Linked DNA regions of Rattus norvegicus. The protein of the gene in region 1 binds, or shares a complex with, the protein of each later gene. Links are inferred from orthologs where the notes say so. Each region holds a gene or a part of one and is shown in the gene's direction. Other genes may lie near its edges.

Region 1 (3,652 bases):
CCGGAATCCAACTCCAAGTGATTTGACACCCTCATAACAGACATACATGCAAGTAAAACACCCATGAACATAGAATAAAAATGAATCATTCAAAAAAGATTGGCCATTGGTGAGCAGCACATTTGGCTTACCCAGGAGACTACCTCTTCTCTCTACTGACTCACTCATTTAAGGAAGTCCTCGTGGGCCCTGCCCAGATACTGTGAGCTTCATTATTCTGTAAAGTATTGGCAAAGTTTTAAGATCATATGGTGGGGTAGAAAGAACTAAACTGCCTGCCCCCTCCCAACGCCAAGTCCTATAGCCATTATCTAATCCTCTAGGCACTTTTGGGGAATGCGATTCTGAGGTTGATGTGCTACACTGGTCCAGATACAATTGCTTCCTGCTCTATCGGATGGGGACTTTCTCAGCCTTCCTGGAGCTACTCCACATGGAAATCGAGTAAGAAGCCTTGGGGAGGGCTGGCTTAGAAACGTTCTTGAAGAATTCACATGTCTGTGGAGTTCCTCAGTAGATTTCCCTATGGGAATCCCCACTCACATCTCCACTCAAAGTTCACTGACAGTGTCCTCCTAGCCAGCGTTCTTCCCTCACTCTAGAATTCATAAACTTTTCCATCATAATCACAAGAGAAACAGACCACTTTCTGTCATCGAGCCTAATTATCTGTCATGAGTTATAACTGTCAAAGTGGCCTTTGCTGCTGCTGCTGCTGCTGCTGCTACTACTGCTTTCTCTTGTGCCTGCCACCCGGGAGTTTTGAATACACTGAAATCTGCTTATTTCTTGTCAGATATTGCTTAGCATCTGTTTTGTCTCCAGCACAGCGGTAAGCATTGTGGGGAATCACAAGAGGAGTTGATACCACAGACTTTCTTTTTGCCTGTCTTCACTGTAGCTGAGGATTTACTGAGGTAGCAAGGGTCTCCAGGTTCCTTAGCTGAGCCTCACTGTCTCTGTGAGACAAGGAAGGGCAGGTGTTTGTGTTTCTGTGTAGAGTAAGTGAGCATGGGGAGGAAAAGGCCTGATGGGTTCCTCTTCTTTCTTTCTTCTGCATGGCAGCAACAGCCAGGCCTCTAGTAGTGCCCTTCGGAAACCAGCCGTCTCCATTGCTGACAGCACTGAGCTCAGGTGAGTGAAGGTGCCCCTGGGCTTTGAACAGAGGTGATAAGTGGCCTGTGTTACCCTTTTTCCAAATCCCAAAAAAAGTGGGAAGTTACCTTTTAACTAATCTTCTCTGGTTGGACTTCCACTGGCTTCATCTGTGAATTCTGCAACTATAAGCTGGGAACTGCATCTCTTATGATCCTTTTGTAACCTCAGGGTACTGCTGAGTGTCATGTACCTAATGGTGGAAAATATCCGCTTGGAGCGAGAAATAGACCCCTGTGGGTGGAGGACAGCCCGAGAGACCTTCCGAACCGAACTGAGTAAGAAGTAGCATGTGAGGAGGGGCTAGGGAGAAAGCTCTGAGGGTGGACGGGAAGCAGTAGAGGAAAGCAGTCCTTTTTTGTTCTTTTTCTTTTTTAAAAAATAGCTTCTTTTCCTTTTTAAGCCAAGGATATTGCATGGGGCATGAGGGTTGGGTTTGACTGCACCCCTGTGTGTCTTAGTTTCCTTGGTTAGAATTGAGAATAGCCATTCTTCCATTTGAATCCCATATTGAGGGAAAAAATGAGTTGAATTGCCTTAAAAACTGAACTTTGTTCTAATGTAAGTTGAAGTGGTCATCTGACAAGGATAAGATGTAAAACTATTTTTTAAAAAAAATCTATTTATTGATGTAAATAAGTTAAGAATGAAGTGTGGTTCATGAAATACCTTGATTCCAGAAAGCCACGTCATCACTGTTACTTCCTGTTTGCTAGGCTCCTCTAAGCATTTCCTTACCCTCTAGGGGTGGAGCACACAATTATACCACAACAGCCTCGATCCTGCCCTTCAGGGGAAGCCTTCTGGGTCTCACTGTGCCTCCTTTATAAGTACTCTGGAATTTGTCAGGGGAGGTTGAGTGCCTTCCTCAGCGTGCCCAGACTCAGCTACTTCCTCTCACTTTTCTCTTGATTCTCCTTATACCTCAGGTTTCTCCACACATAATGAAGAGCCTTTTGCACTCCTGCTGTTTTCCATGGTTACCAAATTCTGCAGTGGCCTGGCCCCCCACTTTCCAATAAAGAAGGTTCTGCTTCTCCTCTGGAAGGTGGTCATGGTGAGTGGCTGATCATCTCCATCCCTATCTCACCCAATCTGATCCTTCTAATCTGGGTTCTCCGAGCTGGAGCTTGGCAGCAGTTAGTCCCTGTCCAATAGTCAGCATCATCAGGCTTCTTTTTCTATTGGACGGATCTGTTGGATGCCACTCTCTGAGCTGAAGATCAGTGGCGCCTTTCCCTAACAGAATCGATGTTTCATAGAAAGCACACTAGCTGGCCACTGGGGATCTGGCTCTGTCCATTACAATGAGCCTCTGACCGTTCTCTACCTGTTTCTGTAACTGGGAAATGTTAAAACTAATGCATGCCTTTTCTTCCACTAGAGGATAGACATCCTTACAAGTATATAGTTAATAATTTGTTATTTATTTTTCAACCTGACCCTTCATCCTATAGTCTTCCTCTGGCTCGGATCCTATAGGGCTAAAGGAACAACATACCCTATTAGTGGGCTTCACAGAGTAAACCACCACTGGATTGCAGAGGAAACTGTGACTCTTGGGACATCCTGACATCTGAATGTGCTCCTTAAAATGAGAGATTGTGGCACGGATGGTGGCATATGGTTGTAAAACTTGATAGACTGAGGATGGAGTTTGCAGTTAAAGCCAGCTCAGGTTACACAGTGAGACCCTGCTTAAGAAACAAAACAAAGCAGGGGTGTCTTCTGTTCTTTAAGCTTTTTCCACCCCTGCTTCTAATTTCTGGGGCAATAAGTAATACTGTGTTTTATTCTGACCCTGGAGACATTCAGACTGGATCAGGTTTTTCCTTTTACATAACATTTTTTTTAAATCTTAATATAATTACATCATTTCCCCCTTTCCCTTCCCAGGCACCCATCCCTTGCTCTTTACTCTCTCTGAAATTTATGACCTCTTATTGTTAGTTACTTGTGTGTGTGTGTGTGTGTGTGTGTGTGTGTGTGTGTGCGCGCGCGCGCATGCACGCGCTTGTGTGCGTGTGCTTGTATACATGTGTGTGTGTGTGTCTGTATGTGCTCATGTGCATGCATGCGTGTGTGTCTGTTTCTAAATACATAAACTCAGCATGCTCAGGGCCGGCACTTGGTACTGGATAACTTCCCTTTTCCTTTTTACTCTTTAGTTTACCCTTGGTGGATTTGAGCACCTGCAGGCTCTCAAAATACAGAAGCGTGCAGAGTTGGGCCTGCCTCCACTAGCTGAGGACAGTATCCAGGTCGTAAAGAGCATGCGTGCTGCCTCTCCGCCTTCTTACACTCTTGATCTAGGCGAGTCTCAGCTGGCCCCGCCACCCTCCAAACTGCGGGGCCGCCGTGGCTCTCGAAGGGTATGGACAAACACACAGTAGTATTGGGGTATTGACTGTATTGGGGTATTGACAGGCCAAAAAATAAAAAATCAATATTGTAAGATATTGTGGATGTGATAGGAAAGGGCAGTAGATAGCAATCC
Region 2 (3,652 bases), on another chromosome or scaffold:
TACTACAATTCATAACAGTTGAAAAATTACAGTTATGAAATAGCAAAAAAATTATTTTTATGCAACATGAGGAACTATATTAAATGGTTGCAGCACTAAGAAGGTTGAGAAAACCACTGCACCAAGACATAATTTCCAACAGTTGTGCCCAGCTGCCCTGCAAACCTAGTGGGTTGTGTAAAGTGTTTTAGAAAAATGAGTACTGTGAAACTAACATCTGTTTACATTGTGAACTTCTTTAGAAGTAGTTTGTGATTTCAACATACTAGATTGATCTGCATTCTTTGAAATGATGGCCTGTCTTTGAGGAACTACTAAAAGCAAGTACCAGAAAAAGGAAAAAAAAAAAAATCAATGTGCAGGGGGAAATGAGAATGGTGGTGCCAATCTAAGTCCGGTGTTTGAGAAACTACAGTGCTCAGGAAGTGCAAACATCCCATTAATTAGTACATAGCAATAGATAAAATATTGTCTATTTTGTTGTGTACAAAGTTTTGGGATAACTCTGTTATTAGGATATACCACTTCCCTAAGATATTTGTACTACCTAAACTACGGAATAAACTGCATTTGGCTCTCAGCTCTGAGAACTGGGAAAGCTCAGGGCCTCTGTGAGACTTCTGCATTTTCCACTGCTGACCTTTTGCTGTGCCAAATCAAACTAGTATTAAAAACTTTGTGTGCAGACTTAGATTTAATTCTTTCAGCACTTTAACTTAATTAGCAAGCTGTTTCTCTGCAGCTATTTCCTGTAAACACCATGCCCCCAAGATAATTCATTATGTAGGTGGACTTAATGCTACTTGGACAAGGAAGATAAACAACTGTTATGAAATAAGCATCTAGTATAATTTTTGGCAGTTCAGGAAACTAAGACTATAATAGCTCATTTAACCAAATTTGAATCATTTTTCTTTTGAGGGTTACCTTGACGAAACAGAATTTAGATGCTGCAAGAACAGTGATCCATCCCATGTGTATATTTTGTGCCTTTCCCCACTTCAGTTCATAACCTCTAAGGTTTTCCTACTTGAGATCTCAAGAGTGTTTTAAGAAAGTGATGAACACAAGAAAACTGTAACCTCGGTGACATTAGGATGGAGCTCCAGAGTCAGAGAGGTTAATTGTGTTTGAAACTCAGGAAGCTGAATGAGTGTCATTGGATCAAGATTAGAAATTATGCTTCTACATGATTATTAGGATAAAAGAAAAACTGTTATATAGATTTAATTGGCAGGCATCCTTAAGGAGACACAATTTCAATTTGATTAAAAAAATTTAAGTAATGGAATAGACTAAATTACTGTGAAAGTGGAAGTACAAAACTTGCCTTTATATTCAATCTTGGCATGGCTAGATTCTAGGGCCCTAAGAGATGTGCATTTATTTATAATGCTCCACATTATCTATCGTGCTCTGTCGGTAGCTTTCCAGGGTACTCTAGAGGGCTGCTGGGAAGGCTCCATGCAGAAATGCAATTGTCAAGCAAACCTGATGTGCAAAATTCAATTCCCCGAGCCCATGCAAAGTGGGAGAAGAAAAGTGACTCCCCGGAGCTGTCCTATCACTTATACTTGTACATGGGTACTTGCCTATGGCCAAGCAACGCGCGCGCGCGCACACACACACACACACACATACACATCCCAGTAACAGTAAATAAAAAATCAAATTTCAATGAGTGATAATTTAAAAACCATTGAACAAAATTTCTTGCTATAAAGCTAAAATGAGAAATGGAAATTATTCTATGAAAAGTAGGTAAGTGAATAAATCAATTTTACTTAAAAGTGCAAAAGCTACCCTAGTGTTTTATTTAGCTTTTCCTGGTATTTAATTCTAATACAGCACATATTCCAAAAACATTTGATGAGTTATTATTGCCCATCTAAGATGAAATATTATATATGCTAAAATGTCTCAGTGTATTCATGATAAGAGCAATCTATCATAAAGAGATTTTGTCATTGTTGGTTGACTGAGAGAAGACATAATAGAAAGGCAAGGAATGCTCGGTGTGTCTGTGACTTTGCACATGATAAAAGCTTCTGACGTATAAGCTGAGCAAAGCTGATGGTGCCCTTAGTGGCACCGTGTCACCGATGCTTTCTGTTCTTATAAGTAAATAAATTCTTAACAATTAAGTTTTAGCTTTAAAATGCTGATCACATTTCTGTATTTCAAAACTAGAGATATTTTTTATAGGAAAACATGAGAAGTGTAAGGATTTTTTACCTTTTTATTAATTCTTTATGAATTTTGCATCATGTATGCCAGTCCCACTCATCTTCCCATCCATCCCCTTGTATCTGCCCCTTGTCCTTGAAACCTCCCTCCAAAATAAAGAAACAGACAAACAAAAAACAAAGCATGGGAAGCATCTCATTGTGGAAGCAGTGTTTCTCACAGTATATCCCTCTGTCACAGAAGCCAGAGATCTCGAACCAGACAGTTGACTCATTACATGTTTTTCTTGCAGGCTGAAAAGGAAAATCCAGGCCTCACACAAGACATCATTATGAAAATCTTAGAGAAAAAAAGTGTAGAAGTTAACTTCACTGAGTCCCTTCTTCGTATGGCAGCTGATGACGTAGAAGGTACCAGAACGAAGACTTGTGTTTAGTTTCTCCATTCTTGAGAAGCACTTCCTTCAGATCATTACCAGTTGTCCCCCTTCCTTCATGCTTCTTGTGATGGTAGTGGACATTATCTGTAAAAGGAAACAAGCAGACTCTTTAACTTTTCTGTATTTGTCAAATTTAGTTAAGTGACATATTTGTTGATACAACACACTTTTATCTTTTTGCCCATTAATATAGGGATCGACAAATTTCAAATTCACTGAAAGTTCTGAGAAATATTCTGTGTAGCATTTGAAAGAAGTGAGCCGTTTTTAAGTTGATGAGCTTCCTACTAGACAGTGAGCCTGGTAGTAAGAAGCCTTTTTATCTACCAAGTCTGACTGAGACTTCTTTTTAAAAGCCATTTTAGGAGCCCAGCCTATATGTTGAGCTTGTATTGGCCTTTGTTTTCAAATGAAATTTTAAGAATATACTGAAAATTGTAGGAAGTTTGTGATTATAATATAATGAACTACAGTATATTTCACATTGTAGACATTTTAATATGAGCCAAAGTATGTTCAACACGATGTGGTTTTAGTATGATGAACCATAAAATATTCTACACTATAGTAGATTCAGTACTGTAGGAGTTTTAATATTATTGCCCATCACATATTCAATACTAAAGGAAGCTTAATAAAGTAGGCTGTACTACATTCCACACTATAGGGGTTTTAAGTTTCTGAATTCCCCTTTCCTTTTTACAAATATGTAAATGACCTACTTCTTCTTTATGAGTGTCATTATTTAAGATCTCATGGGACATCAATACAGAACATCAGGACTCATGAGTTAAGGAGCCTCCTTTCTTTAAATCAATGGATGGGTGGATTATTTAAGATTGTATTACATTTCCTCATATATCTCAAAGATATGTAGTCTTACTCTGTTTTACTTTAGAAATTATTTATTTATTTTTACACCTGACCAAGTTGAACTTTGTTTCTGTTTTCGGACTAAATGACTGTCTTCCCACTCTATCCTTCCTTTAGTCTGCATTGGGAGTTGTTAGATTGAATTTGTCGGAG

The links. Proteins that work in one complex are often made in the same cells at the same time.
Region 2: Strip2 (region 1) and Pdcd10 share a complex: the UniProt entries of both Homo sapiens proteins name them as parts of the core of STRIPAK complex. The link is inferred for Rattus norvegicus from reciprocal best matches to the Homo sapiens genes STRIP2 and PDCD10.

Annotation. Positions count from the first base shown.
Region 1 is NC_086022.1:59,513,478-59,517,129, forward strand, and holds part of Strip2 (striatin interacting protein 2), read left to right. Parts: intron 1-323; coding exon 324-444; intron 445-1,065; coding exon 1,066-1,134; intron 1,135-1,321; coding exon of another isoform or gene 1,322-1,326; coding exon 1,327-1,433; intron 1,434-2,084; coding exon 2,085-2,212; intron 2,213-3,323; coding exon 3,324-3,527; intron 3,528-3,652. UniProt on the Homo sapiens protein: Plays a role in the regulation of cell morphology and cytoskeletal organization. Required in the control of cell shape. Calmodulin-binding scaffolding protein which is the center of the striatin-interacting phosphatase and kinase (STRIPAK) complexes.
Region 2 is NC_086020.1:162,613,472-162,617,123, reverse strand, and holds part of Pdcd10 (programmed cell death protein 10), read left to right. Parts: intron 1-2,479; coding exon 2,480-2,597; intron 2,598-3,652. UniProt on the Homo sapiens protein: Promotes cell proliferation. Modulates apoptotic pathways. Increases mitogen-activated protein kinase activity and STK26 activity. Important for cell migration, and for normal structure and assembly of the Golgi complex.